Linked DNA regions of Diceros bicornis minor. Each later gene encodes a partner of the first gene's protein in a complex. Links are inferred from orthologs where the notes say so. Each region holds a gene or a part of one and is shown in the gene's direction. Other genes may lie near its edges.

The links.
Region 2: NUP153 (region 1) and NUP188 share a complex: the UniProt entries of both Homo sapiens proteins name them as parts of the nuclear pore complex. The link is inferred for Diceros bicornis minor from reciprocal best matches to the Homo sapiens genes NUP153 and NUP188.
Region 3: NUP153 (region 1) and CETN3 share a complex: the UniProt entries of both Homo sapiens proteins name them as parts of the nuclear pore complex. The link is inferred for Diceros bicornis minor from reciprocal best matches to the Homo sapiens genes NUP153 and CETN3.
Region 4: NUP153 (region 1) and NUP93 share a complex: the UniProt entries of both Homo sapiens proteins name them as parts of the nuclear pore complex. The link is inferred for Diceros bicornis minor from reciprocal best matches to the Homo sapiens genes NUP153 and NUP93.

Annotation. Positions count from the first base shown.
Region 1 is NC_080753.1:49,678,048-49,685,963, forward strand, and holds the start of NUP153 (nuclear pore complex protein Nup153), read left to right. Parts: upstream 1-4,901; coding exon 4,902-5,012; intron 5,013-7,916. UniProt on the Homo sapiens protein: Component of the nuclear pore complex (NPC), a complex required for the trafficking across the nuclear envelope. Functions as a scaffolding element in the nuclear phase of the NPC essential for normal nucleocytoplasmic transport of proteins and mRNAs.
Region 2 is NC_080767.1:36,691,664-36,699,354, forward strand, and holds the start of NUP188 (nucleoporin NUP188), read left to right. Parts: upstream 1-4,676; 5' UTR 4,677-4,695; coding exon 4,696-4,727; intron 4,728-7,691. Other genes in the region: DOLK (dolichol kinase), read right to left, coding at 2,655-4,271. UniProt on the Homo sapiens protein: Component of the nuclear pore complex (NPC), a complex required for the trafficking across the nuclear envelope. Required for proper protein transport into the nucleus.
Region 3 is NC_080740.1:16,898,047-16,905,598, reverse strand, and holds the start of CETN3 (centrin-3), read left to right. Parts: upstream 1-4,537; 5' UTR 4,538-4,628; coding exon 4,629-4,645; intron 4,646-6,468; coding exon 6,469-6,604; intron 6,605-7,552. UniProt on the Homo sapiens protein: Plays a fundamental role in microtubule-organizing center structure and function. As a component of the TREX-2 complex, involved in the export of mRNAs to the cytoplasm through the nuclear pores.
Region 4 is NC_080771.1:10,272,587-10,279,846, forward strand, and holds the start of NUP93 (nuclear pore complex protein Nup93), read left to right. Parts: upstream 1-4,260; 5' UTR 4,261-4,354; intron 4,355-6,124; exon of another isoform or gene 6,125-6,211; intron 6,212-7,260. UniProt on the Homo sapiens protein: Plays a role in the nuclear pore complex (NPC) assembly and/or maintenance. May anchor nucleoporins, but not NUP153 and TPR, to the NPC. During renal development, regulates podocyte migration and proliferation through SMAD4 signaling.

The DNA of each region.
Region 1 (7,916 bases):
GCAAGCGTGCTGAACTTAACCACTAGGCCATGGGGCTGGGGCTGGCCCCCAGAATTGTCTTACCTTTTGAAGAATATATAGAGGAGGTTTTTCATCCAGGTTGGGCTTAGACTAAATTGTATTTCATTTGTAATTAGTGGATATTTCCTATCTCTTAGAGAAGGGTCAGCAGCCTCTCTATTTGCTAATTTATAATTGGCAGACGGTTCCAATACTATATGGGGAAAAATAAAGAAGTTTCTTGGAGGACAGGGACTCTAATAATAATAGGCTTTTCATAAATTGAGATCTCTCCCAATACACCATCTGTTTTGGCTGAAAAAACCAGGTTCAAGTTTAAGAAAAGTGAAGTTGGGCTAATCTTTGTTTTCAGCTTGGTTATTGGGAAGGAATTCCTGTCCTTCTGTGTTTTGTGTCAGGTTCTGCCACTTGGTCTGAATATGAATAGCTCTTAGTTTTTTCTCTAACCTTCTATGATATACGTTGAATTCTGTTGATCTTGCTAACATAGCTTCTCTCTGAGATTTGGAGGCCTGATGTACAATATCCCTTCCACCAAAACGCCCCTGCTGATGTACACTCACTCCCATCCTACAACATGTCCTCATATCCCCATGCCATAATGGGAGTCCTTGCATTCCCAGGTGATCCTAAGCCAGCGATTTGAGTCTGGTCTCTCCAACGGCTATCACATCATACAGCTGGGCAAATATCCACTCTCACTATGCAGCAAGACTAGAACCAGGATCTAACAAACATTTAAGTGATAGGTAGGTTCCAAAACTGGCCAAAAAAATGGCAGAACGATGGCAAAGTGAGAGCATGGGCTTTGAGAGAGGAAGAGAAATCATTTCAAGTATTGACTGCTATTATTTTTAAAATAATTTTTTTAACTATTTTTTTATCCCTTCAGTAGTGCCCCAGTTTCAAATGAGGAAAATAATTTCTCTCAGGATTATTAGAATTACGTGAAAATCTCTATATAACATTATGATGGGGATTTGTTCATGATTCTTACAAACGCTTTATCAGGAATAAATAAATGAATTTGAGAAACATTAATTTGTTATGCAGTATAGTAAATGAATACAGGCAAGCCAGGAAAGGTTATATAAATCAGTTTAGCTGTTTTCATCATTGTACTATTTATTCTAATAAAATGGAAACAGTTGACATTGGTAGTAATTGGATATTGGGCAAATGAGCTATAGTATATACAGAGTGACTGTTAACACTGTTCTGTGTGTTCAGGATATAGCTATGAGAAAAATTCCTTATCTGCTAGGAGTTTAAAACCTAGTAGGGGAGAAATGAGTTTCTATTAAAATATACTCAGTGAAACAACCCAAAACATAAGGTCACTTCTCAGAATCATTTCAGTTTTGTCTAGGCCTAAAGACCAGTGGGAGTAGAAGTTAATAATAAAAAGGAAAGGATGAATAAAGAAGATAGCTAGCTCATAATACAAAATTTACAAGTGATAGCTTCCAATGCTGTGAACTACAGAATCTCATAGGGTTTTTAGGGATTAAATTTAATGATCTATAGAAATTGCTTAATTATAAGTACTAAATAATAATAATTTCCTTCCTCAAAACCTGTTAACTCTTAATATGGCTGGAAGGATTTCAAGAACCCCTATTATTGTTCCATGCCATTTGATATTCTTTCCAATTTATATATAGTATCTCTTAGAGAAATGTTCAATAATTATTTATTTGAATGCAGGTAGATTCTGTAAGTTATAATCAGAATAACTTATTATAACCCATTCTACTACTAGTAATTCCCACTTAAAGAATGAATTTTGTACCAAAAATGTGTGAGGAACTCTAGGTTTGGTGATTTGTAACTCCAAACTGAATTTCAGCACAGAAACAATGTTATTTTAGAATCTCAAACTATGCAAAAGAAGTTACTTCATCCCATAGTGAGGCTGATACTATTTCAAGGTAAAATTAAGAAGTTTTTTTTTATTTATTTATTTATTTCCCCCCCAAAGCCCCAGTAGATAGTTGTATGTCATAGTTGCACATCCTTCTAGTTGCTGTATGTGGGACACAGCCTCAGCATAGCCGGGGAAGCTGTGCGTCAGTGCGCACCAGGGATCCGAGGGATCCGAACCCGGGCCGCCAGCAGCGGAGCGCGCGCACTTAACCGCTAAGCCAGGGGGCTGGCCCAAAATTAAGAAGTTTTGAATGCGCATTTCTTCTTGTCTCTTATTCTCTCTCTGCTGTCAAGCCTGGTAAAGTTTCCAGGAACTCAATCACATAAATGTGGGACTAATGTATTCTTGTTCCCTCAAATGTTGTTTTACTTCAAAGAAATAACCGTAAAATGGGGTAAACAATTGAGATCAAGTCTAAAGGGGGATGTGGATTTTCCCATATCTCCTCAAATCCTACCAATTTTCTATTCTAAAGTTTCGTTTTAGTTAGGCCCAGCTCTTTTGCATGTCCCTTCCTTCAAAGCTTGGCTGTGAAGGCTGTCCCCACACATCAAATAGCCTCCAAGAAAGGGATGGGTTTTGAGTCCCAGCCAGTCCACTCTCCTGTGCTGGGAATTTTGAGTCCGGTGGGCTGAAAAGGGAAGATGGGATGTGGCTACAGTTCCATCTCCTATATATGAGCCCATTTAAAGATTTAGGTACAGATCTTCCCTGTGAGTTAGCTTATTAAAAATTACCTTACTCCGCTTGCCAAATACCTAGCTAAGAATTGTGAAAGACAAACAATTGTATTTAAGAAGGATGAGGTGCTTCCAGAAGAAGAGTATGCATACCTGGAGAGTCCAGGGGGGAGTCAGTGGTGTAAGGGGGCATGAAGCTAGGACAGGGAAGCACAAGAGCAAGTGGATTCATTCTGTCTATCATATTCTGCAACTTTTTATAGTCTTGGTGGTTACGGACAGGAGCGCCACTGAAAGCCGTCATTTGCTCTGTAAACCTAGGTCTGATACAACATGGTTCCTTGCAAATTCCAAGGTACTGTAAATTTCGTTTTACAATTTGACTTATATGATTTATACAGTGGTTTGAATTGTGCAGTTTGTTGGTGGAGATGGTATAAAAGTCTTGGAGTTAATTTATCTGTGTCTGATAGCTGGATGATGTTAGATGCTTTCTATCTAAGCAATCATTATGAGCTATAATATATACATTAGTCCTTTTATCAGACGCGCCACCCTGTTGAGGTTAATATTCATTCTGTTTGCAGATGAGAAAACTGAAGCTTAGAAAGAGGATCAGTAACTCCCCCAAGGCTACACAGCTAGTAAGTGACAGATTTGAAATTGTCTATTTGACTCTAAAGCTATTTATAAGCTTTAAGATCAACTGGCTCAAACAGAACATTAAGCCTATGTTTTTTCACAGTGGCAGATTTTTCTCCCTAATCATTCAGTTACTTGTCTCAGCTCTTACAGAAAAGTTGGGTTATAGTCCTGGCTTTGACTGCCCAGCTCAGTGTCCGCCAACATGCCACTTGGATTCTCTGGATCGCTGTCTTGTCCGTTGAATGAGAGGGCTAGACCGCGTGATCACCAAGACCTTCCTAATGGTCAACTCCTACAATCTCTATTCGTATTTTGTGGATTCCATCTTTGAGCCTAACTCACTTTCCTAAATATGATGCCTTCTATTTGGAGCAAATATATATATACTTTTATTACTGATAACAGACTGCTTACCTCTAATGTGAGCTGACTGCGTAGGTAATAATTGTAGCCATTTATTGTCTACCAGAAAACATACTAAGTGCTCTACGTAGATGATCACAACAGTTCTATAAGGTGGATTTTAAAGTTTCACGTTATAGAGGAGGAAGCCAAGGCTCAGGTTTTGACTTATCCAAGGTCAAGCCAGAGAGCAGCAGAGCTGGAATTCCAGCCTTTGTGTATTTGACGACAAAGCTCTTATATGTTTAATGGAACATTAATGAAACTGTATATATTTTCTAATTCTGCTTTAGGCTTAAAGATCATGGACATTATTTTTTCAACCAGTTTTTTTTCTTTTTATGTTATTAGCTCCCGTCTTTGATTTTATTATCTGCTTATTTTCTGCTCCCTTTATCAAATGATGGGGAGAAGTAGAGTGGGAACGTTACTGTTTTGATGTTAAATGCCTCTTTCAAAGTTTAAGTTTACAGCCAAGAGCGGCAAAGTGAACAGACTCTCTGGCTTTGTGACTTCGCGGCGATCCGCGCATCTCCTTCCTCGTCCTCCTGAGAATTCGCGTTCTTCCGCTGAACTACGTTTCCCAGCGGGCTGCGCGGCCAAGAGCGCGGGCTCGACAAGCCCTTCCTTCCTCTTCGCCTATCACGCGGTCGCAGCGTGATGACGCAAACTGGTCCGGCGCTGACGAGTGACGGCATTCTGGCTCGCGACCGCGGCGGCGGCCTTAGCAGCGGCAATAGGCGCAGCAGCAGCGGCGACTGCAGGGACGACGACGGCGGCGGGGCGGGCGCTGCGCGCAAAGGGGAGGGGTAGGCGGGCGGCGCCGGCGGCTTCAACTGCGGCAGCTACGACTAGGGCGACGGAAGAAGAATCCCCATCAGCCGGCCGTCGAGTTAGGCCTAAGCGCCCGGAGCCGCTTCGCTGTCCTCTGCGGGGGATCTCCATAGAGACAGTGACATACACAGAGGCGGGGGTCCGCGGGAGGCTGCCGGACCGGAGCCAGCTCCTCGGCCTCTGTCGCCGCCACCGCCTGCCCCGCTGCCAGCGCGCGTCCTCTCGCCACTCCAGCTCGCAGCCTCGCCGTTCCTGGTGTGCCTGTGCCCCGCTGTGTGGGCAGTGCGGGCGGACTGTTGGGCTGGGGCCGGGCGGGGGTGCTCTAAGGCCGCCGCCTCTGCCTCTCCCGCCCCCTTACCCGCCCGGGAGGGGGAAGCAGCGGAGGCTCCGCCATGGCCTCGGGAGCCGGAGGAATAGGAGGGGGCGGTGGCGGCAAGATCCGGACGCGGCGGTGCCACCAGGGGCCAATTAAGCCTTACCAGCAGGGGCGACAACAGCACCAGGTACGGGACCCCGACGCGGCGGTGGCCTAGCGGGTCGGGAACTCGGCGGGAGGGAACAGGCAGCGAGGGGCCCTGGCGCCCCACGTGGAGCGGACGGGAGGGCCTGCGGAAAGGCCCGAGCGAGGCGGCGGGAGCGCAGGCGGGCGGGGTGGCGACGGGAAGTGGGCTGACACAGGCCCATCTTTGCGGCACCCACGTGTGGTTCGGGCCGCCTCTCGCCAGCCCTCCAGGCCAGGGGCTTCCCCTGGACGGGCGCAGGGCGGGAACAGCAACTCTAGGCCCACGATGCCCGCGTTTCTTTCGCTTTTGGCGGGGATTGGGGGGTTGAGGGTATTACTCACGTCCTCCCGAGGGAGAAAGGAAAAGATGTGGCTGGAGGCCTCTGCGCTTGCTGTTTTCTAGTCTCCCGCGTTTCAGTGCGTGTGGGGAGGGGGCTGCCCGGAGGGATCGGCCTCCGGGGGTTGGCGGGGGCGCTGTTACACAGAAAGTGGAATAACTTAGTCTCAACCTATTAATTAATTCTCCATCTCCTCTGCTCTTGTTCCTCCCCGATCTGAGAGCATTGGCTTAGATTTTTTTTTTCGTAACCGGGTTAGACTTACCGTGGCAGTGGGGCATTTTGAAAGTCCCTCTCCACCCTTACGTCTTTTCTCTGCTGCGAGACTCTTCCTTCTCCACTTTCTATCCCTCCCCTTCCCTTTATTTTGGAGGGTAGACTTGGCCGTTATGCACAGTTGACCGGGACTCCAGTTCTGGTCTCATGCACAAAATATTTTAATATTATGGGGCGTATTCTGGAAGTTTAGGTACTTTTGACATTCCAGGCATGTTGGTGGTCTTAGAATTTAACCACCTTGTGCACTCATGGGTGTTTGAAATTATGAAAAGGAGTTTATCCTAATTGTAAATGAGACATTTGAGTCTGAGGAAATTTCGTTTTTTAAACGTTACGTGTTTATTATGGGGATTGAGTAGGAAAATGTTAAAAACTTATTTTGATAAAAGTCACTAATAAAACTTCTCTGTGATGCTGAGGTGGGAAGTAAGTGTATATCTTAAACTTGTTAAAAAACAGAAGTACCGTACAGCAAAAGGGTCTGATAACTTGTTGCATACTGTTAAAGGTAGACTTCCTAGGTTGCCTTATTCTGGATGATGATGAATATTGGACACTTTAACATGTTTGGTAGTGGTGTTAAATTGTATCATTAAAAAACAACAGAATTTTAAAAGTAATGATTTGAGGGAAATTTTTTGATAGTAAAAATTGTGGTTTATAATATTAAGTAGTCCTCTACTAATGGTTAGAAGTCTTGGCATTACTATTATCTCTCACCAGTTTCCCCCCAGGTAAATATATGCAGAAAGTACTTGGTTTTCAGATTTCTTTGTGAGAAACAGGGGTATATACTTGCAGGCAGATTTAAGATTAGAATTCAGGTCACAAGCCTGGCCATTTAACCTAATCCTTTTGTAGAATGGAAGTTAGACACACATGCTTTCTGTTTCTCCTGAAGAATAAATGTCTGAGTGCTGTCTTAGGTCTCCCTAAGGGAAAGTTACTACATAAAAAATGAAATGTTTTAAATACAGATCATTGGATGGTCTGGACAGAGTTTAGAAAGGAGCTAATATATTCCAGGTGGCAGAAGTTATAATCACAGCTTACTTTTAAAGGTATTTAGATAAAAATCTAATTTGGGGGAGATGATGCCTTAACAACATAACACCTATGATCCAAATTGTCTTAGAGCTGATATAATTTCAGTGTAGTTTTGTTTTAGAGCTTGATAATTTTATCATTTCCCCTTATCAGAAATGCTTTCAGCTTCTTACCTCAGCCATTTAATTGAAAAAGGAAATACATTTTTAGCTTTTGGGTTGAGATTAAAGATGTTTGGGAGTTTCTTGATCAACACTGTAGGTGTTACTTAACATTGGCAGAAACTACCAAAGAAAAGTATGTGTCCAGGAGTATACAAAAGAATACTCTTTAATTTATCGATTTTGTTCATCTTAAAATAAGGACTTTCTTTAGTCTTTACTGGAACTTTTGTGGATTTGTAGACTACCTGCTTGCTGTACTATCCTGGGCTGTCACCTCTCTATGTTTTGCAGCAGCTGCTGAGTCATCATGAATATCAAGGAGCTTCATGACATGGCATGTTTTATACTAATGTTATTTGATTAAGTGTCTAAGAGTTTCTGGGCAAAAATGAAGTTTTGGGATATGTGGTAGAGAGTTGGAATAAGAATGAGAGGTCTGGCACTATTAGTTAATGGATGTTTGCCATTGCCTGTCAGGCCAACTGGCTTGTGCAATCACGCAGTCACGCAGTACCTGTGACTTTTGCGTGTGTTCAACTGACTTGTAATTTCCTGTTTTGATTTCTTCTGGTTTAGCTCTGCTGAGATAGATCTAGTTTACATTTTTTCCTTTTAACTTCTGATCTTTAAAATGGCATCTTGCTCGAAGTGGTGGAAACTTAAATCCATTGTCTTAACTAACTGAAGGGAAGCAACTTAAGAATTGAAGAAGCAAAAATGAAGAACAGCCCTGAGTAGTGTAAGTTGATCATTTTCACTTGCCTTCATCCCTACCTCCTAACTCTTAGCCCAGATGCATTTAGGAAATGGTGTCATTTTTCTAGTTGGGAGTGAACAGGTCACTAAAGAGGATGTGGTTAGTTCTTGTCACCTCTTCAGTCTCCTTTCCCGTTTCCTTTTTGTGCAGATTGTCAGGCCCAAAAAGTCAGCTCTGGAGAGGTCAAGCTGCTTTTTTTAATAGCCACCACAAAAAACTTGAGCCCACGGGCAAACCAGAACCTTGCCTCTGGAAGAATCTACTGCCACCTCCTGGTGAGAGGGAACTACTTATTTTTGCCCTTTTTTGGGGGGTGTGCT
Region 2 (7,691 bases), on another chromosome or scaffold:
CTGCTGAAAATCACCCCAGGTCCCCCAGCCCAGCCTGGGGAGGGTTGCCTGATTTTTATACCAGTAAGTAACATTTCGTGGGTGCTCACCATGCCGAGAGCTCCACGTGCCTCGTCTCACTGAGTCCTCACTCCTTCCAGGTCTGGGCTCTCACCATCCACATTTACAGGTGAAGAAGCTGAGGCACGGGGAGCCCCAGTCACACAGCTGTGCAGTTGTTCAGCAAGGGCAGCCGGATCCAGGGCCTGTGCTTCTAACCTCTCCACTCCTGGGCCTCCTTGCTTGCGGAGGAGAAAGACCGGGACTGGGAATCCAGAGTCCCATATCTGGTCCTGGCTCTGTGACCAACTTGCTTTCTGGCCTCAGGCCAGGCCCTTCCTCTCTCTGGGTCTGTTATGCAACTTGCACAATCGGGGCCAGACGAGGGCCTCTTGCTTGGGCATGCTTGGCAGGCACCCAGACCTTCTGCGGGAATGACCACCAAATTGAAAACCTGCTTAGCTGGAGCCTGGCCTGGAGGTTGCAAACTGGGCGCCACTGGCTGATTTCAGACCACAGATGTGTTTTGTCTGGGCCTCAACATTTTTATGAAAACTTTTTAAATTTGGGAGATGTCACATAACAATCCAGGTCTGTAAGCTTCCTTGACTGGGCAGGTCAACCACACTGGGCCTGTGGTCTAGCATGGTGACGACTGGCTGGAGGTGTCCCCTTAGTGGCACGCGTCCTCTCTGCTTCCCACTTCCCCTGTCCTCCTTTGTGGCATTACCTGCCTGGCCTCAGCAGCCATGTAAGTTTGTGACCTTGATTTCCAGCCCCCACCGTCTACGTGGACAAACCAAGGCCCAGAGGACAGAGGCCTTTCCCAGGGCTGCCCAGGGAGTCAGTGAGGCAAAACTGTGCCCTCCTCCAGCGTTTTGCTGCCTCCTAGGCAAGCCGTAGACGGCAGCCTGAGAGAGGGAAGGGTTTCTTAAGTCCCCTCTGAGCCCCAAAGGAATGTCCTCTCCAGGAAAGGGCTTGGCAGTCATCCCCCGGCAGAAGCAAGAGCTCCCGAAAGCTCCGCTCCTGGCTTCTGGCCTTGGCGGGCCAAAGTTCTCACCTCTTCCTGCTACGCCCCTCCCTGCCACGCTGGGTAAGAAGGGGGCATAACTTCGTCCAGCCTCAGGAAACCTGCTCTGCTATTTTCCCACTGATGGGAAAGGTTCATCCATTCAGGAAACGTCTACTGAGTTCCTGCTACATGCCAGGCTCTGCTGGCACCAGGGGATGCGGTGGTGAACCAGGCAGACCCAGACTCTGTCCTCACAGAGAGCAAGGCTAGAGCATGGCCCCCCAAGTAGAGCTATTCTGACCTCTCAGTAAACTCTGTCAGCTCCCTAAGCTCTAATTTCTTGACAAGAGAAGAGACAAACACAGGTTTGGACAAGACTGGAGTGTGAGAGGGTCTCAGGAGGGACCCCTTGACAAGGATCCTGTGCTGTCCAGCCGGTCTTTCATCAGCACCACTCAGCCAGGCAGCAGAGACACTGAGGCAGGGGTGGGGTTGACTGAAACAGGAAGTCAGCCCAGAGACTGATCCTCTTCCTTCAGCCCTTCCACACACGCAACAAGCTGATCCCACCTCTCCCCTTCAGCTCTTCCTAGTCCAAATGGGAGAAACCACATGCACTTGGCTCTTTTCCTCTTGGGTTCTCCTGCAAGTGAAGCCAGGGGAGTAAGGTTCCTCTGTCTCCGAGGACACCCCAGAAACTCTCTAGCTTGCCTGGCTTTTTGCTGAGATGAGGACTGGCCTTGAGTAATCATAACACTTTCCCTTACTGATTGCTCACGATGTGCAATCACTGGGCTGGACATGTCATACACCTCACCTCACTGGATCCTCACACCACCATGTGAGGTGCCGGCTCTTATTATTCTCATCTTGCAGACAGAACTAAGCCCCAGAGTGGTTAAGCAACTCACACAGTTGAAGAAGTGGTGCAGCCAAGGATTCTGACCAGATTACCTTGACAGCAGAACCTGCAGTGTTAACCATTACGCTCTCCTGCCTCCAGTGTCCACTCCGGCCTCCTCTGAAGACTGCAAGGCAGGGGACGGGGGGCTACAGCACACTCAAGTTCTTTGATTTGTTGCAATATTCTTTAATTAAGCCTTTTTGCTTTTTATTTTTAATTTTTTTGTGAGGAAGATCAGCCCTGAGCTAACATCCATGCCAATCCTCCTCTTTTTGCTGAGGAAGACCGGCTCTGAGCTAACATCTATTGCCAATCCTCCCCTTTTTCCCCTTTTTCTCCCCAAAGCCCCAGTAGATAGTTGTATGTCATAGTCGCACATCCTTCTAGTTGCTGTATGTGGGATGCCACCACAGCATGGCCGGACAAGCAGTGTGTTGGGACGCGCCCAGGATCTGAACCCAGGCCGCCAGTAGCGGAGCGCGCACACTTATCCGCTACGTCACGGGGCCGGCCCCATTGCTTTTTAAATATTAGCGAAACGAAAACCCGGTGATCTTGGATTTTTATTTTGAATCTGAATCAACTGAAAAATCAAATCTGCTTCTCACTCCTTGGCTCTTCATGCCCAACTGTCTGGCTGCTGTGGGGACCATTCATCCTCCCCTTGGCCCTGTTTCCTCCATCACTGCTGCACAGCAGCTAGGCCATCAGCAATATCAGGAGGTAGAGAGGCAAAAGGAGATTGTCTATCTGTGTAGTGTATGCTTCGAGGAGGGACACGATGCTGATGGACCCCAAAATCCAAGCATAACTGTAGTTCAGGTCTACTCCACTGTCAAAGATTAAGATCAGAGCTACAGAAATGATCTGGGCAAATATAGACGTCATGGTCCCCTCAAAGGTCTTTTTGGTTCCAGGCCAGCGGATCTCCCCCATAGCACTGCCGAAGATGGAGGCCACCGTGTCACCCACACCCACGGCCAGGACGCCTGCATAGGGGACTAGGGCCCTTGCTCCTCCTAGACTACCCTTCTGTGTGCAGGGTCTGGGGACTAGCCAAACGGGAAGAGACACGCCAAGGAGCAGGTAGATGTGTGTCAGGATGAGCGGTCCACTGTCTCGTTCATCCAGGAAGAGGGACAGGAGGCTCCGCAGAGTGTGGCCCAGGGGCTTGATGCGGAAGTAGCGTACATACTCCAGGAAGATGAAGACTGCCAGACATACGGTGGCGGCCACGTAGAGCAGCGTCCGGTCAAAGATGATACCTGGGACGTAGGTGGCCACTACAATGAAGTGGAAATACTTTCGGGCAATGGTGGGGGCCTGGTGCTTTTTGGACTCAGAAGATGAGCGCTTGGCATTCTGGTACAGCACCACCAGGCAGGCCAAGGTGGCCAGCAGAGTCCAGTAGGCTAAGAGGTAGATGCGGGTGTTTGTCTGGAGGAGGAATTGAAGAAGCCAGAGCAAGGGGTTCCTGCGGATGAGCCGGTGCAGCCAGGGCAGGACCACACCCAGACCCAGCACACAGGTCATGAGGTGGAAAAATATGGAGGAGGCCCAGGTACCTGAGTCCATGAAGACAAAGAGGGTGCTGAAGAAGATGCCCATGAGCACCATTCCCACTACCACCACTAGCAGGAAAAAGTCCACTGGGTCCCCCTGGCTTTCCACCACAGTCAGGGAGCGCTTGATGAGCTGGTTGAGCATGAAGCTGATGCCACCCAGTACCAGCAGTGCCTCCCCAGGGGTGAAGCAGCGGGGCAACAGGTACAGCAGGATCATGTTGAGATAGACGAAGATTAGCAGGACCTCCAAGACCTCGATCACCTCTCCCACACTCAGTGAGTGCTTCATGATATATATGATGACACCTCCAGCCAAGCCCGAGATGACACAAGTGTTGGTGGGCACCGGGCGAGTGATGCCCAGCGCCAACACTGATGAGAAGAGGGCCACTGCCATGCCAGTGGCTGCCACCACAATTCCAAAGCGTTCGAAGTATGGGTTCCCCGCAGACTGGCAGCGCTCCTTCATGACCAGTCCGAGCAAAGGCATGACCACTGAGGTGGGCAGTAGGCCACTGTTTGCGGACGTTCGGAACTGGAAGACAGCGCTCCCCTGCTGTAGCAGCCGGTCCCACTTGTACTGGACGTAGAAGGCCTGCACTGCGAGGGCTACGGCGCACCACGAGTATCGGTCCCACACGGCCGCGTGGATGCTCAGCACCACTGCGAACACCACTGCCGCCTCTGCCAGCACCGACCCGCTCAGCGGAGCCCCGGTTCCCGGGGCCGGGGGAGCGCAATCTCGGGTCATGTCTCTAGACCTGGGACCCCGGGGAAACCAGGGTGATTAGGGACTCCGTGGACTCTGGGCCCCTCAAGCCCCGCCAGGCAGAAAGCGGCAGCTTCACCCAGCCAGCACCTTCTCTCTCCGTTCTCCAGCTGCGAGGAGGAAAGCTCCACTGTAGGCCACTCTCTGCGGCCCGGGTGCTGGCGCCCGGTCACCCCTCACCGCCTCTCATCTACGTCGCAGACGTCGCCATTCGGCCGCCTTCCTCACAGCCTCGGCCGCCCTCGCCGCAGATTCCTCACCTCTCAGGGCAGCGCCATCTTGGCCCCGCCCCACCATGCCATCACGTGATGTAAGGCCCCGTCCACGCGCCAGCCGGGGGGGGGGGTGGGTAGGTCACGTGGGCGCGGCGTCTGGGGGCGGGGCTGGGGCGCGCGGGCGCGCGAAGATGGCGGCGGCCGCCGGCGGGCCGTGTGTGAGGTGCGGAGCGGGCCGAGTTGGCGGGGGTGGGTGTGAGGCGCCGAGTCCTAGCCGAGCGGAAGCGGGGCGGGAGTTGGGGCGAGATGTGGTGGCGGCGGCGGGCGAAGCCCGGCTAGGCGGACGGGCGCCGAGACGGGAGGCGGTTACGTCCAAACTGTCCCGGCGCGCGGGGATCTGAGGTGACTTCTCCGAGAGGCGGGCCGGTGCCTCACCCCTTCGCTCGGCGCCGGCCTCCTGTCTCCTCGCTCGGGCCCTTTCTCTCCTCCCCTGTCCCCGCCGGCGCGTCCCTCGGCGCCCCCCCGCGCTTCCTCGTCCGGTGTGACGCTCCCTCGAGGCGCCCCGGGGCACTTCGCGGTCGCGGGGAGCCCCCGCCCCGGCCCGCCGCCGCCTCCTGCGCTGCCCGGCGGCGCTCCCCGGGTCCCCATGTGCTCGTGCTCGGAGTCGCCGAGCCCCTCCGGGCAGTTCTGCTCTCCGTCCTCGCGCGGCCTTCCATTCATCCGTCTGTTCCTCTCCTCGTGCGTCGGTTCCGTCCGCCAACCTGCCCGCGTTCTCGGGGAGGCCCCGGCGCCGTCCTGGGCTTGGGGACAGGGGGTGAAGTAGAAGCAGAAAGAGACAGTTGTTACTTCCAGGGCGCTTCCGAGCGCCGGCCCCCGCGCATGTCCCTGGAACTCTCCCGACTCCGTGGGCACCTTGGGCTTCACCGATGGCTCGCGGGTCCGGCTCAGAACTGGCTGAGCGGTCAAGCGAGCGTCCAAGCCCGGGTCCGAGGCTTTAACCCGATCCCCGCACCTCCGTCTTCCAAGTTACGGCGTGAAGCGTCGCCCTTCTCCCTGCCGCCCTCCCTCCTGAAATGAGCTAAACGTTCCTGTCGCTTAGTGCTCCCTGGGCCCGCGGTGTTGCCCCGCTTCGTCTGTTTCGCCGCTGTATCCGCAGCCCCCAGAAGAGCGCGTAATAGGCTGCCAGAAAATATTTGTTATGAATGTTGCTCGTTTTATCTGATGGCACTTCCTTCACCTCTCAGCTCGAGGTTTTCTTCTCCGGAATTTCCATTGAACTGCTTCTGCACCTTGTGAGGACCAGTCTGCTTTTTCCGCCTCTGCTGTTTCATGTCAGCTCTCATGTTGGGCAGCATTGTGGTCACTGTGCCCTCCTTTTCTTAGGCTTAGTTCTTAGTCGTTGGGGAGTTTGGGTCAAGTTTAGCTCTTGCAGGGTAAGGCGCGTTCTTTGATGAAAGAGAACAAGGGAAGGAAGGCATTGGTTTGCCTGAAAGATGCTTTGATCATCCCGGGGAACCTACCAAACTCATGCCTGACTGCTTTGCTCCTAGCCCCTGTTAGGAGAATGCACTTTCTTTTTGTGCTGGAAGGCTCCTTACAACGACTGGGGTTATACTGAGCAGCAGCCTTCTGTTTGAAATGCTTGGAGGTCTGGACTAGGAGAAAACTGAAATTCTGTTCCTGCTGCCTGCTGATTTGCAGATGACCGCAGACAGGCCAGCTTACCGTTTGAGCCTGTTTCTCCAAGTATTTCAGAGTAACGGTGAGGTGGTTCTGAAGCATGTAGGGAAATCATTGTGAAAAATAGAGTAATATCCTTAAATCACTCAGGGTTTTGGGAAAGTCAGGGTTTTGCAGAAAGTCAGTTTGAATATTGACATTTTTGGATGTCTCTTAGTGTGTGTTCTTCAGTTAGTGTGTTTGTAGAAGTCTGAGTGGTGTACGTGTGTTAAAAAGACAACTGTGGTTTGAAAAGGTTACTGCTAAGCTTAAATCTCAATTCATGCAAGAGAGTCATACTTCATCCTTGGAGTCAGGGGATCCGTGGGCAGTGGGCACTTTTATTTATCATCTCCATGGGGAATATCACCATGTTTCTCACAAGAACTATCTCAGAGTAGGTTGGCTGTGTCTCAGCCTTCTTACCAAAACGACTCAGTTGTAGAGACTTATTCCTAACCTAGAAGCTTTCCCCCAAAGGTTTCCAACCCCATGGATCTCTCTAAGGAAGATAGCTTCCAGTTTCTGTTAACTCCAGCTCTTTTAGGAATGGAGTTCCATGTTGTCTGCTAGAGCATTGGACTGGAAGTCAGTAATTTTGTGTGTGTGTGTGTGTGTGTGTGTGTGTGAGGAAGATCAGCCCTGTGCTAACATCTGCCAATCCTCCTCTTTTTGCTGAGGAAGACCGGCCCTGGGCTAGCATCCGTCTCCATCTTCCTCCACTTTATATGGGACGCCGCCACAGCATGGCTTGACAAGCGGTGCGTCAATGCACGCCTGGAATCCAAACCCGCGCACCCTGGGCCGCTGCAGCGCAGCGCGCACACCCAACCGCTTGGGCCACTGGACCAGCCCCTCAATAAGTTTTTTAACTTTACTTTTGAGGCGAGTTATTTAGTTTCTGTGCCTTAGTTTCTCCTGGAAATACTTAGCTCAGATTTATTTATTGTGCAAATAAATGAGCGATACTGTAGCAGTTAGTTTGTTTCTTGAAAATACGTGTAGAAGATGTTACCCTGAGGCTTTGGATTGGAAAGCACAGTTCCATCTATGTCTGTTGTATCTTGAGAATCACCTGCTCAAACCTTCAGGTCCCAATTTGAGGTGAAGTTTTCATTGATCCCTGCATTGGTTCCCAGTGAGCTCTCTCTTCTCTGACTCTTTTCTGCCCCGTGTGGTTATATTCCTTTGTGGTGTGTAATTGTTAGGATCACGCCGTTTATTACTTTATACTTTTTTGCTGATTGTGTAATGTGTGTTTAACATCCTTTGTCATTCGCAACAGTAAGCTTATGAGCATTGTGATGGTCTTAGATTTGTTTGTATTCCTATTATTCCTAGACCATAAATGTGTAGGAATTGAGGAACAAGTAACACTCATTGCCACAAGGATTCCCTTCCTGGTAAACTACAATCTTCTCCTTCATTTTGCCTTCTCTTGAGACTTCTGCATATAATGATTTGTTTG
Region 3 (7,552 bases), on another chromosome or scaffold:
GCCGGCCCTCATACTTGATTTTTTGTCTTGAAAGGGACTAGAATTCTAAGTTCAAAATAATTTCCCCTTACAATTTTGAAGGCATTACCTTCTGGTATCTAATGTTTCTGATGAGAACTCTGATACTAGTTCAATGATTATTCTTTTACAGGAGATGAGATTCTTGCATCTGGAAGCTAACTTTTTCTTTTATTTTTGATGTCCTGAAATGTCTTGTTGATGTAGCTAGGTGTGGTTTCTTTTACCATTTATTTTGTTCAGTACTAGGTGTGTCCTATCAATCTGGAGACTTGTCACTCTTCAGTTCCTCAAAATTTTTCTTCTATTATTTCTTTGATATTTTTCTGCCTCTCCTTCATTTGTTGCTCTCTGTTTCTGGAATTCCTATTAGTCATATGATGCACCTGTTGCATTAGTCTTCCATGTTTTTCAATTTTTCCATGTTTTTGTCTGAATGCTGTATGTTCTGGGATATTTCCTCAATTAAATCATCTCACCACTCTATAAAATTTTTAATTTCTGCAATCATATGTTTATTTTCAACAGTCTTTTCTTATTCTCAGAATGTTCCTTTTTCGGAGTATCCTATTCCCTAATACAATATTTTTTGACTACCTCTTAGGAAGCCTAATGTTATTAATTTATTATGAATTTCTTTTGGTTCCTAAGTTGTTCCTAAGTTGACTCAGAGTCTTCCTAGATAGTTGTTTTCCTTTGTTTTATTTTTCATTCTGTTGATTTTCTTCATATCTCTAATGGTTTTTGATTCTTCATTCATTTTTAAGAGTGGGGTTCAAGATAAACATGGAGAGAGAGAATACTGGTGAGGGGAATCTGGAAGAATTGAAGTGCAGTGGTCTCCCAAAGAGTTTTTTTTTTTTTTTTTTTTTTTTTTTGCTGAGGAAGATTTGCCCTGAGCTAACATCCATTGCCAATCTTCCTCTTTTTTGCTTGAGGAAGATTAGCCCTGAGCTAACATCTGTGCCAATCTTCCTCTATTTTGTAGATGGATCACTGCCAAAGCATGGCTTGACAAGTGGTGTAGGTCCGTGCCCCAGCGCCCAGGATCCAAACCTGCGAACCTGGCTGCCAAAGAGGAGCACATGGAACTTTAACCACTCAGCCACAGGGCCGGCCCCTCCTAAAGAGCTTTTGAATTGACATTTTGTATTTAGCCCTCTTCTCACTTCCATCCTCGACTGTACCACACAACTCTACACCTAGAGTCTCTCTTGGGACTCTGAGAGGTAGATCAACTCTTTCTGAAGCTTTAGTCACCCCCTACAAATCCTGAGATGCCATTTTGATGATCTCATTTGTCAACAAGCTCTTTTGATCAAAAAATATGTCAATATATCTCTTTTGGTCTTTCAGATATTTTTTGAAATACTTTGTCTGCTGGTGGTACCTCTCTAGGTCACTTCAGTATTAGAAACTAATTTCTCAACTATTGTTTTATTAAGGTTTCAGGAGGAAGACTAAACAATTACTAATGCTACTACCTTCTTAAACCAGAAGTTTTAACTACTTTTGGCTTTGGCTCTGGACTTACTATTCTGATTACCATAGTAACAAATACATTTTGATATCCTGTAGAGCAATTTTTGTATTATTATTCTTTTTCACAATTTTTAAGTTATTTTTATGCAATTATTCTTAAGACAATCTTTAGAATAATTTTGTTAAATTCGAGAAAAAAATGTGAGCATTTTTATTTTGATTATACTAAATTTACAGATTAATCTAGGACATAATTAACATTTTTACAGTACTGAATCTTCCCATCTAGAAGTAGAGCTTCTTTTTCAATTTATTCAAATTTCATGTCCTTTAGTAAAATTTTGTGATTTTCTACCTACAGGTTTCCCGTTAAATTTATTTGAAGGAATTTCGTATTGTTATTATTCTTTTATTTTGCAAATGCTTATTGATTTTGCAAATTTCTCTGATCATCAGCTACTTTACTGAATTCTTTTATCAATTCCAATACTGTGATACTCTTGGATTTTTCCAGGTAATCATTTCATCCACACATGATGTTAATTTTATATATCACTTTCTTTTCCTGTTTTATTACAGCATTGATTAGAGTTTCAAAGATAGTGTTGATAACTGCTTTAAAGGTGTCTGTAGCAGAGCTGCTAATCCCATCTTATCTTTAGTAATAGACGATCTGACCCCAAGTTTTAGCAGGGCACACAGTTTTCCAGTTAGAGATTTCTTTTCCCAGCCTCCCTGGTGGAAAGGAGTGGACATGTCACTAATTCTCACTAATAAAATACGAGCAGAAGTGATGCATGTGACTTCCCTGTCATTCCTACAACAGGATATCCTGTTGAAAACATTTTAATTTAACATTTAAAAATCTATCTTCCCAAATTATTTGCCCACAAATATTTGCCCACCCATTCTTCATGAAATTACCACAAACAAAGCACAAAATTCTAGTGTTTCAGGGACTAGGTTTGAGAAACACTAGCATTTTAAGTCTGTTGCTCAAGTTAAAAAAAAGTACCTTTTATATCTAGTTTATTAATATATATTTTATTAGGAATGGGTGTTGAATATTTTCAGTGCCTTTTTGGACATTGAGATGATCTCTTTAACCTAGAATTATAATTAATTAATACAGATTTATATTGTGAACTATCTTTGCATTTTTAAAATAAATTCTATTTGGTTATAGTGAAATGTTCCTTGAAGATAATACCAAATTGATTTTGCCAACGTCCACGATTTTTGCACATATGTTCACTAATGAACATAAAACACGAGGGAGGCACATACAATGGTGAGCGATAGGCACACAGTCTCATCATGGAGCATACATTCAGCGACTTGAAATGCTGTTTAGGATGATAAGGGTTGTGCTAGTTTCAAACATTAAGCTAAGAAGCTCTCCCCATCATGCTTTGAGTTTAAAGCATAAGAATTAGCTCTTCAAGAATTTTTAAAACTCACCCATAAATCTGAGTGGGCTGGATGCCTTTTTATCTCTTGGTACAGAACTTGGGCATCATTTTTCCAGTCCTATCTACAGTTATTGACATAATTCAGTTTTCTGTCTTTTTTGAGTCCTTATCTGTTTTCCTTGAAGTGACTATGTCATTTTGATATTAATATTTATTGGCAGCATGAAGTCAGATAAAGTATTTTAATAATTTTTAAACCTCTCTTTTAAATTACCAACCTTATTAGTGGCAATATTCCCTTTGTTACACTTCCATACATCTGTCAGTTTTATTGGTATTGTCAGGAACCAGCTTATTTTTAGATTACGAGACTACCCTTTCTACTCTTGTTTTTTTTTGGGGGGCGGCGGCTATGCTGTAACTATTAATTTTTAGCTTTAGTCCATCATACTACCATTACTAGTCCAAATTTAGCTTATCCTTTAGGTCTAACATATACACCGTCTCCTTCAGGAAGCCTTTCTTCTGCCCTGCTGTGTTCTCTTTTCTCTAAACCTGTATACATATCTCTCTATAGATATATCAGTGTTTATATATCTTCCCCCTTCCTCTGCTCGACTCCCACCTTCAGGCTATTTTATTCCTTTATGAGATTTGCAGCTCAGGTCAGTACTTTCTGAGTTTTCACAGCAACATTCCATTCAATGCAACAAATATTTACTGAGCATCTATGCATCAGACATTGTATTAGGCACTAGGAATAACGTTAAACGCATGACGGAGTCCTGGCCTTGAAGAAATTCAGTCTAGTACAAGACATGAACAAGTAAACACATTCAATGCTCAAGGGAGCTTCAAGAGACTTGGTTTGGCAGTGTTATATTCGTGCAATTTACAGCACTGGAAAATAAGGGACATAAGCGAACAAATCCGTTAAAAGGAGGAAGAGCAGAGCCAAGGGCGGTGTAGGTACAGCTTCACCGTAAATAGCCTAATAATCCAACTCAGTTATTATCCAAAAATAATCCACAGCACCGGCCTCAGAATCACTCGACAGGTTGTAAGGAAAAAAGATGCAGATTCACACGTACTAGAATCAGATTGGGGGAAAGGGACATTTAAATCTGCGTTTTAAACAAACTCTCTGTGTCCTTAGGCCATCGGCCGTCCAGGTTTTAGAACACTGGAGCCAATTTCGCAGACCTCGAAGTTTGCTACTCCCTCCTACTAGCGGGAGGATGGCCTCCGGCGTGTTTCTTCTCTTCCCTCCCTCTCCTTCCCTCGGAGCCGTCCGTCGTGTCTCCGGAACGTCGCCCACAGGCCGCAACCCTCCTGGGGTGAGGCGAGGTGCAGCCACCCGCCACCCGAACCGCAACGCTGGGACTCAGACACTCAGATCTCGGCTCCGCAAAGGATTCGGGGAAAACTCAACAGGCCAATCCAGGAGGCGGGAGGAGCAGCGGGAGAGGCCGGCAGAGAGGTTTCGTTGATTGACGCGGAAGACGCCCAATGAGAGCAGAGGCCTAGTGCCGCCTCCGCCTTAATGGGCAGGACATTAGCAATTTCAACCAATCCAGCTCAGAAGTGACTAGCTCGTGGGAGGTCCTTGAGGCCGCCGAGGTCGTTGGTGTCTGTTGAACGGGTTGTGGAAGTCGTGCTGCCTTGGGTAGGGGTTTAAAGTCGTTCTTGAGAGAAACGTCTCTGTCCGAAGAGAAAATGAGTTTAACTCTGAGGTCGGTAATGAGGAGGCGGCAATGCTCTCCCCACCCCGCAGCGGGCCCCAGGGCGGGTGTGTGTAGAAGGGAGGCAGTTTGGAGCCGAGGCGAGAGGAAGGGGGATGCAGTTTGGGATGAGGGAAAGGAGCCTCGGCCAACCTTCCCGGGCCCGGACTCCCCACCCTGGAGCCCCTGGTGTCCCGCAGGTGATGAGCCCCGTGCATAGTCATGTCTGGCAGCACTGTGCTTTGGACCGCCAAAAGGACGAGTGGTTTTAGTAGCAAGGAGGAAGTGAAATATCGCGAGGTTTCATCTCGCGGTGTTTCTGCGAGAAATCAGGCCATGGAGCATCCATTCGTTCAGTTCCTCGCTCCTGGTCTGCAGCCTTAACCTCAGCTGCAGTACTGCTCACATACATACCTTTAAGTTTTGGAAGTAAGATAAAAGGCCTCCTTGCTCTTCTCTCGGGGCTCTGCTTTACGGTATAACCGGAGACCCATTTTAGTGACTTTAATTGGTAATGTCGTAGAGTTCCTTATTTCCTGAGTTTCTTTACCTTTCATTCTGTTCCAGCCTCTCACCCTCTCTTGCCCCTTCCCCAGCCCCATCTAGACATTTTACCTTAAAAATATCTATGTAGTTAACGCCACTCTAAAACGGTGCCGTGTTCTGCCAAGGGATAATCGTTGTCCTCTTGGATGGGGTCACTTGTGGGTCTGTTGTGGACTTGGCCTTCCGGAATCCTGGGAAGAGAATGACCCCGGGAATGTCCAAGCTTGTGTGAAGAAAGATCTTCCTCAGCTTTGTCATGCTCCTGGTCCAGTTCTAGCCATCTCTTGCCTGTGTTTTTTTGTAGATTTCGGAGAACAAAACAACTTCAAATGCAAATAGAGAAGGTGTTCTAATAAAAGTAACTGGGTTTTACGTTTTATCGTTTTACAGAATTCTTCTGTTTCAAAATTTGTTCTCAATTACAAGTGTTGCAGCCCCATTTGAAAATTTGGAACACTTAGATCGGCATCTCTTAAGGAAGACATTTCTGGCTTTTAAAATAAATTTCCTTTTCAAGTTTTTCCAGAGTTCGTGAGAAATTAAGTTTACATGTTAAGAGAGATTTAAAAAGACCATTGATTCTTCACGTAATTATATGGAATTAGCCCAAATAGTATTACTTTTTTTGGTGTTTAATCGTGATATTTTTAGACTCAGTATTTTGGCTGATTCGTTAATATCAACGGAAGAAATTATAAAATGCCAAACTATTAGAAACATGTAATAGAAAAACATTTTTAACTTACAGTGCCAAAACACTTTGTAAGTTAGTTGGTAAATTATATGTTTTTGTGTAGCAGTTTTGATAACTTAATGATAAACTATCAAAAGTAAACCAAATATATAGTGATGGTCAATTAGGAATTTTACTTTCTTTTTTTTAACACTTTATATCGTAGAATGATGTGACTAATAAGTGTGGGTGCTTTGTTTTTTGTTGGGGTTTCTGACATAAAAGTAATGTTTCTTATTCACAGTTTTTGTTTGTTCCACCGTGGGAATAAACACAAAGCTAGGAGGAAGGATTTGGTCCTCATTTCTTTTAATAACCTGTAACACTTTTCAGTTTTGGGAAGTGCCGATTTATAATAGCTTAGACTATGGAATGAGCAGGGCTTTGACTCATGTAAGGGAAATTTATCTTTCTTCAAAATACCTTCTTTTTAGAAATTTAGAAAATTATTCGTTGGCTAATTTTTGTGTTCCATTTTTGGAATCTTATTTTAATCATTTAGAGGCATAGGAGAATAGGATTAAAGTGAACTAAAACTTTTTGTTTCATTTCATAGAAGTGAGCTTGTAGTAGACAAAACAAAGAGGAAAAAAAGAAGAGAACTCTCTGAGGAGCAGAAACAAGAAATTAAAGATGCTTTTGAACTATTTGACACAGACAAAGATGAAGCAATAGATTATCATGAATTAAAGGTAATAGTATACTTAAAAATTTTTTTTTCTGTTGAAATGATTTGCATTTTTGACTTGGTTAAAAATACATTTCTAAATAAGTATTTTAGCAACTAAACTTTTTGGAAATATGAAACCATTTTAAACATTCACAGTTAAGTGCTATAATAAAATTGAATAGTACTCCTAACATTTTTTTAGAAACTCCTTTTCACATGGTAAAGTGAGTAGTATTTTAAATGTAAAAATACATTCCTATGGAGGGACTTATTTTTCATTCACGTAATTAAAAGATTTCAAAACTGTAGGATTTAATCAGTTCTTATTATATTCTTCCCACTGGGTTTTTTTTTTTTGGTGACTCATTCTTTTCTCAGATTGGAGGAGTGTTGTCTTTTAATTTGAACATGTTAGTAACACAGTCTCAACCTACTTTCTCTGGTGCAAACAACATAAGTGATGTTTGATGTTGACACAATGCTAATGGGGAAAAATGTCAACTTTAAGGGCTAGAATTATTTATAAAGATACAAGGGGAAATTGGTGTTTGGAGTAGTATGGATCTCACACTCAGCATAATGAGAAAGGTAGCATTTTAGTAGCGTTTTAACTCTCTTTTTCCACTATTTTTTTTTTAGTTACCCAGCTTTGCTCAATTCTACCTTTATGCCTCATCCATTTGTTGCCATTGTTACTATCTTGGTTTGGGATCTTAATTCATACCTGGAGCTTCCTAAATGGTTTCTCCATTTCTAGTTCACCCTGTACACTTCCATTAGATTGATTATTCTAAAATTCTTTTAATAGATTGTTCATTGCTGATAAACCATTAGTGGCTCCTCATTGTACACTGCATGAAGTTCAGATTCCTTTGATTTTTATTGAATGCTCTCCACACTTTTACTACCACCTACTTTTCTCATTTGCTAACTGCTTGCTTCCAGCTGAGCTCTTCCCATTCAGGTAAGG
Region 4 (7,260 bases), on another chromosome or scaffold:
TGATGGTGAAAACAGTCTTCTTAACATTGTTGAAAGTACCACCTTATATTGCACGTGAGGGCCAAGGACATTCGATTGGGAAAAGCTTAATGAATTCTGGCCTACTGACATTGTAACAAGCGTGCTAGATGAGCTGCTAAAGGATTCAAGTGATGCCTGCATCCTTCAGGATTATTTTGATTGCAAGTGACAGAAAACCCAACTGAAAGTGAGGAAAACATGCACTTTTTTTTCTCATGCAACAGAACATTCCAGGAATAGGTTTAGCTTTAGCTTGATCCAGAAACACAATATACTGGATTCTAGCCTCTCTCTACATCACTGCATTGCTCTGTTCTGTAACGGCTTTGTTCCCAAGCAAGTTCTTCCCTCATGGCTAATAAACAATCAAAGTTTTAAAAGGTTAATTTCAGGGAGTGAGAACTTCTGTGAAAACACCTTCACAGTTCTAATTCCAGTGGTAAAGAGAACAATTGTCTGAGTGGAACATCTTGAGAGTGAATTTTCTTAAGTCATAGACCCATCCCCGAATCAGCCCTGTGGCCAGGGTACTGGAGTACTCTGATTGGCTAGGCCTGAGTCACATGCCACCAATCAAAATACAGGGACTGAGAGTAGGGGAGGGGCGGGTCGGCAAAGGGGAGCCAGGGTGCTGAACAGCAGATGTCCACTAGAGACCCACTGTCCAGTAATACAGTCTAGTGTACTGGATGCCCATCCCATATACTTAACGAGTTAATCTGAAGACTAAGGATATCTGACAGTGCTCCAATTCAACCAGACAAGAGTGCAAAGATTTGCATTTTTTAACGTGACCATGCAGGCAAAAAAGGTAAAGTTATGTACTTGGCATGTACATAACACATGCAAAATCTCTGCTATATGTAAGTGCTCCACCAAAGATTTCCTTTGAAAAAAGAGTTTTATTGGTAAAGAGTGTTTGGAAACCAACAGCGCAAATTGGGGGAGTTAAGGATTCCCTGCTGCTCCCCAGATCTCTTTTAAGCAGGAAAGAACGTGCAATTCCCCGACTCGGAGAAAGCGCAAGTCTTACGGGGACCCTGGAGCACACTTCAGGACAAGCCTCAGACAATGGTGCTTGGTAAGTTCTGAGCTCAGTTAAAAAGCGATGTTGGAGAAAACTCTTCTAAACTGTATAATTAATTAATAGACAGAAACAGCTCCACAAATCACACCGATACAGACCTTGTTGTCAGGAGAAAGAAACTCTTGTTTTTGTAGCATTTGGACAAGAAGACCATTCAAGGAGTGGGGTTGGAGGTAAGTTTGGAATCCTCAAAGGAAATTCTTTGGATTATATACCTGGGTAAATATTGGGAAGCTGATGTTTGTTTTAACTCTTGTGCAAACAAAATGAAAAAACAAGTTTTAGTTATTTTTTCTGATTATAGGAGCAATGCATGGTCATTTCACTGCAGAAACTATGAAAAGTGCACTAGCTTTTCAGGGCTTGCCTGTGCTTCCAACCACCCAGGAGAGACTCTGTCCCCGTCTTATCATATTTCCTTCTCTTTTTCTCTCTCTAATGTGTATTTTTAACAAAGTTGAAGTTACAGTTATATTGTTCTGCTTTTTTCCCCTTCTTGGTCATTTTATCCTTTATTATTTAAAAATATTATTTTACACATACAAAATTATTTATATGTAATATATATGTAATAGTGATTCATAATATAACCAACACCTATGAACCAACTACCCAACCCAAGAACTAGAACATATCCAATACCTTACATCTTCCCAGGTGGTCCTCCCCATATCCCTTCCTATCCCTAGAGATAATTACAATCTGTAATTTCCTATTTATCATTCTGATGTTTTATAGTTTTATCACAAATGTATCTATGCATAAACAATATATTGTTTAGTTTTACTTGCTTTTTAATTTTATTAGGAATTTTGAGCTCATATTATACTATATAGTCTTCTGACATTTGCTTTTTCCACGTAACATTATATTTCCAAGATCCACCCATGTTGTGTTTGTAGCTGTAGCACACTCATTTTTCTTTGTTGTGTAATATGCCATTGTGATAATATCCACAATTTATCCTTTTTCTGTTAATGGACATTTGGCTTGTTTTTTTGCTATTATGAACTGTGCTGCTATGAAGATTCTTGCAAATATCTCCTGGTGCACATGTGTAAGAGTTTCTCTTGAGCATATTTCTAGGAGTAGAATTGCTGGGTTTTACGATATGGAAATATCCAGCTTTAAAAGGTAAGTGTCCTGATTTTTCATTTGGCAATGTTTCATGAATATTTGTCTATGTCATTAAAAATTCTTCTTTACATAAAAGAAAAAGCAAGGTAAAAGGATAAAACATTATGCAGATGCAAGACTATTATATTTGTGAATATTGTCTGACCACAGCAGGCTCTGAATACATATTTAATAGCTTTAGGACAAAGGCCACACCCATACATATTGTCAATCAGCACCAATAATTTATACAGAACCCACAATATGCTAGTGTGAAGTGTTCAAGATAAACAAAGCTGGACACTAAAGTGGTAAGACCATATTTTAATCAGTAATATACTATTGCAATAGGGAAGAGTCCAGCAGGAACTGAACTCAACTTGGATTTGTACAGAGGTGACTGGGTGTTTCAAAGGGAGAATGAGAGAACAGGGAAGGGGGTGAGCTACACAGAGTCAGGGAAGTGAAAAATTACAAAAAGTGAGAAGGAAATGTTGGTCCACATGAAACCATCTGGGTTTGCTAACTGGCGATTATAGAAGTTAGGCTCCTACTCTCCCACAGAGGCTGGGAGACAGGGGCCCCATCTTCAGATATTGGCCAGAACAAACAGTAAATTCTTCTGGCAGCCTAGAGTTTTCTCAGTCAGGTACTTTAAGAGGGGCTAGGGTCACCTAGGGATACGACCTTGAGCTGTTAGAAACTATGTTAGTGTTTTGTTCAAGTCTTTATAGACCATGGTTGAGGCCTAGAAGAGAAAATGGCTCAGAGGAGCCTGGCTAGAGTTCTGTCAAGGAGGGAATCTTTGTTAGAGGATAGAGGAAAGACGTGGTGAGGGTGGGCAGAGCACTGTTCCTCTCCTCTCTACCTCTGCTTACTCCATTCCCTAGACCAGGAAAAACCTTCCCTCTCTCTTTGCTAGGCTAATCGCTACTCATCCTTATGGCTCAGTTAAGGTGTCACTTCCCCCAGGGAAGGTCTCCTTGACTTCCAACCCTCCAGACTGGGTTAAACTCCCTTAGCATCCTTACATAGCTCTGTCGTGCACTTAGCACATTACACTGAAATAAAATCTGTTTATGTACTTGCTTCCTGACCTGATGATAAGGACTGGGCCTTATTCATTTTGGGACGTTGTGAGCACTAATGTATGTTGCATGAATGGACATTGTGACACTCCTGGTCCCACTATCTTTATGTGCTGGACAAAGCAGTAATCTCCTAGTGCCACTCTGCTGCCTACTCTCCATTCTCCAACTAGAGGGCTAGGAGGATCTTTTACAAAGGTAAGTCACACCTCGTGTCATACCTCTGCTTCAAACCCTCCAGTGGCTTCCATTTGCATGAAGAATAACTTCAACTTTCTTGCCATGGCCTGAAGCACCTGCAAAGTCTGGCCCCAGCCAACTGTGAGTCTTACCCCACCTGTCCTCATTCATCCTCTGCCGGCCATATGCCCCTTCTTTCTATTCTTCAAACAACAAGTTTGTTTCCCTGAGGAGCCTTCATTCCTGTTCCCTCTGCTTGGAATGTTCCACAGCCACGACTTTGCAAGACTGACCCTTTCTCATCATTCATATTTCAGTGGAGACGTTGTCACCTCCTCAGAGAGGCCTTCCCTGACCACACAGGCATTCTCTTTTCCATCACCCTGCTTTTTTCGTCTTAGCTCTCCTTACAAACTGGCAGTTATTTATTATATTTTTCCCCCCACCAGCCTGAGAACTCCATTAAGTCAGGGATCTTGTCTGTCGTGGTCGCCACTGTGCCCCCAGCGCCTAGAATAGTGCCTGGCACTGGGATGGTATTCAATAAAGGGTAAGAAATCATTGCAGGCAGTTCTGGAATCACTTTCTCCAAGCAGGGCCGACTCTAACCACGTGGGAGGGGTGAGGGCTGTGGCCTCTGGCATGCCGTGAGTGACTGCTCAGCCGCAGGCCCCGCCCCCAGCCCCGCCCTTGTCCTTGTCCTCCTCCACAGGTCTCCATAAAGTTCATTTGGCGGCGCGCCGCGCGGGGGCTTCTGGGAGCGGCCGCCTCGGCCAATCAGGAAGCGCGGGCGAGCGGCGCGAGAAGTGGCGGCGGTGTTCTCCGGCCGGGACCCCAGCGGCGGAGGCGGCTGCGGTGCCAGGTAAGGGTGAGCTGGCCGCGTCCTTCGACCCGGGACTTGCCCTTGAACCCCGGGCCCCGACGTGGGCGGAGCCGGGTCCCCACGCTCGGAGCCATGCTGCTCACACTTCCCGTTCGCCTCATGGCAGCCGGGCACGCGTGACGCCGGCGACGCGGCGCCCTGGCGAACCGCCCCCCGTTATAGCGCGGGCCGCGCCCCGGAGTGCCTTCCGTCTGCCCTCGTTCTGGGTCCGGAGCCCGGGCCTCCCGACTCCCCTCTCCCGGCGCTGGAGCGCTCTGCCGCGGCGCGCCACGCCCCCACCCTTCCCCTGCTCTGCGAGCCCACCATCCCCACCACGACCTTCTGGTTACCTGCCGACCGCGCCCTGCTGGCTCGCTCGCCCCTCGGGGGTACACCTTGTCCGGAGGTGTTGCCCTCCGAGGGAAGGGGTCTTTAGGGCGAGGGCGACGACGCTGTGAGCCTCTCCCAGCCCTTGGCCTGGCTCCTCTACCAGCATCCGGGGGAATGCTCTTCCCCATCCAGGGAGATGCTAGTGATTAGAACCCGCAGGTGGCCTGCACTTTCTCGGGCCCACAGCACCCCACCTTCTGCAAAGACAGTGCCCAAGTTTACGGGGTCTCGTTTTTTAGCGCAGGGGTCTTTGGTCAAAGTTTAGGCGACCCTTTGACAGAGCCGCTGCTCTGGGTTTGCCCCTCTGTCAGGTGTGAGGAGAGTTTTTTTTTTTTCTGTTTTGGCCGAAATGTCTTTCAGCATACGAGGGTCACCTTTAGTATTCTGTCTGGGGGCGTGAGAGGGTGTCCTTGGGCATCGTAGCTTTTCTTTCGTTCCGCTCTTCTCCTTTGTGCGTTTGTTTGGAACGTTTTCATATTTCATTCATGGTAATCTCATCGAGGCTCATAGTTTTAAATACCTACATATTAGGCTAACATCTCATATTTATATCTCCAGCCTGGCTCTCTCCCTTCACCTGCAGCCAGCTGCCTGCTTGATATCTCCACTGGGATGGTTGATGGGAACTCAAACTGACGATGTCAAGATAGGGCTAGCAAGCCCTCCCCCCCATCCCCCTTCCCAAACTGCTCTTCTTGCTGGTTTTTTCTCATCTCAGTAATATAAAAGGCTTTGGCCAATAACCTTTGAGTCATCCTTGCCCCTGCTGTCTGTCTCACTCCACCTGCAATGATTGCCGCCCTGGGCCAAGTCACCACCACCTCTCACCTGGATTATTGAAATAGTCTCCCATCTGGTGCCTTGGCCCCTCTTCAGCACAGCAGCTAGAAGGATCCTTTTAAAACACAGGTCAGATCGTATCACTCTTTTACTCAAAAAATCCTCCAATGGGTCCCTCGTTTAAAGACAAACTCTTTACAGTGAGCTATAAGGCTTTACATAATCTGACCCACTGTTACTTTCCCACTCTCCTTTTCTGCTACCCCCCCCTTCCGCATGTCAGACATGCTTCAGCCTCAGGGCCTTTGCGCCTGCAGTTCAATATCTATGTGGTTTACATCCTCACTTCTTTGAGGTTTTTAGTCAGGGGTCACCTAGTGAGGCTGTCCCCACTTCCTGCCTTCCTTTACTGCTTTAGTTGTTGTTCTTAGCACTTATATTTTACTTACGTATATTGTGTGTTGTTGGTCTTCCCCTCTAGAATGTGAAGGGGGGCTTTTTGTCTGTTTTTTTCCCTGGTGTATCCCCAGCACCTAGATCTGGAACACAGTAGGTGCTCAATAAATATGAAATAAATGCATGTTTCTGGCGCCGTTACAGGCTTGGGGATACAGTGGTGAATGAGACAGGCCTGCCCTCATTGAACCGTTGTTCCTGTGGAGGACACCACCAGCAGTAAACACACAGGTATAGAATGTAGTGTCAGGACTGTTTTTTAAAGGAGAAGGATATCAGAACAGAGACCTGGTTGAAATGAGACAGCAAGTCATGGGAATGTCTGGGGCAGGAGCATTCTGGAAGGGGAAGAGCAAGTACAAAGACCCTGAGGTGGGATCAGCTGGAGATGTAGTGAACTTGAATGTCTGAACCTGCTTCTTGATGGACTGAAGTAGAAAATAAGGTAGAGGGAAAGATGCCAAGAAGAGTGAGGAGTGAGAGCAAAGACCTGGAGGTAAGGGCCTGAGGTGTGTTCAGGGAACAGGTCGCTTTAATTCAGGAAATATTTATTTGTTACTTGTTATATGCCTCTTAGCAGCTGAGGATTCAGTGTTGAGCAGTCTGTGGGCCTTACCCTATAGGAATTCTCCATGTGCAGAGAGAGACAGATGTGGCAAGAAATCATCACAACTCTTCCACTGGAGAAGCACAGTAGTAGGTTCAGAATAGTGTGAGAGGGGTTTGAGGTAGGTGGGACTGCCCCAGCTGACTTTGCAACATACATAGGAGTCCCCCATGTGACAAGGTAGGTTTGGGTATGTGTTACAGCAGAGTGTGCACCTGCATGTGCAGGGGTATGAAGGGAGGAAACAGCATGAGGCACCCCAAGGAGTAGTGAATTGCTAGGGTATATTTGGGGGGAAGGCAGTAAGAGATGAGGATGGTAGGGGTGGCAGTGCCCGTTCTTTGGAGGGCACCCCGTGTAGCCGTGTCAAGGTGCAAGCACTTCCTCCTGTAGGGGATGGAAGGTGTCCCTGAGAGGATTAAGGCAGGGGAGCATTTCAGAAAGACCTCTCCTGCCCAGGGGAAGGTGGGTTAGAGGAATGAGAAGGCTTAGACTGTTGAGATAATCAGGCGAAAAGCATGCGAGTCAGAATAGGGGCGAGAGAGATGAGGGTTCAACTTTACAAAATGTTTGAGAGGTAGACCTGGAGATTGGCTGGATGTTAAGGAGAGGAAGGGGAGCCTGAGGTGACTCCCAGGTGGTTGCTGGCTGAATTGAGTGGGTGCTGATTGTT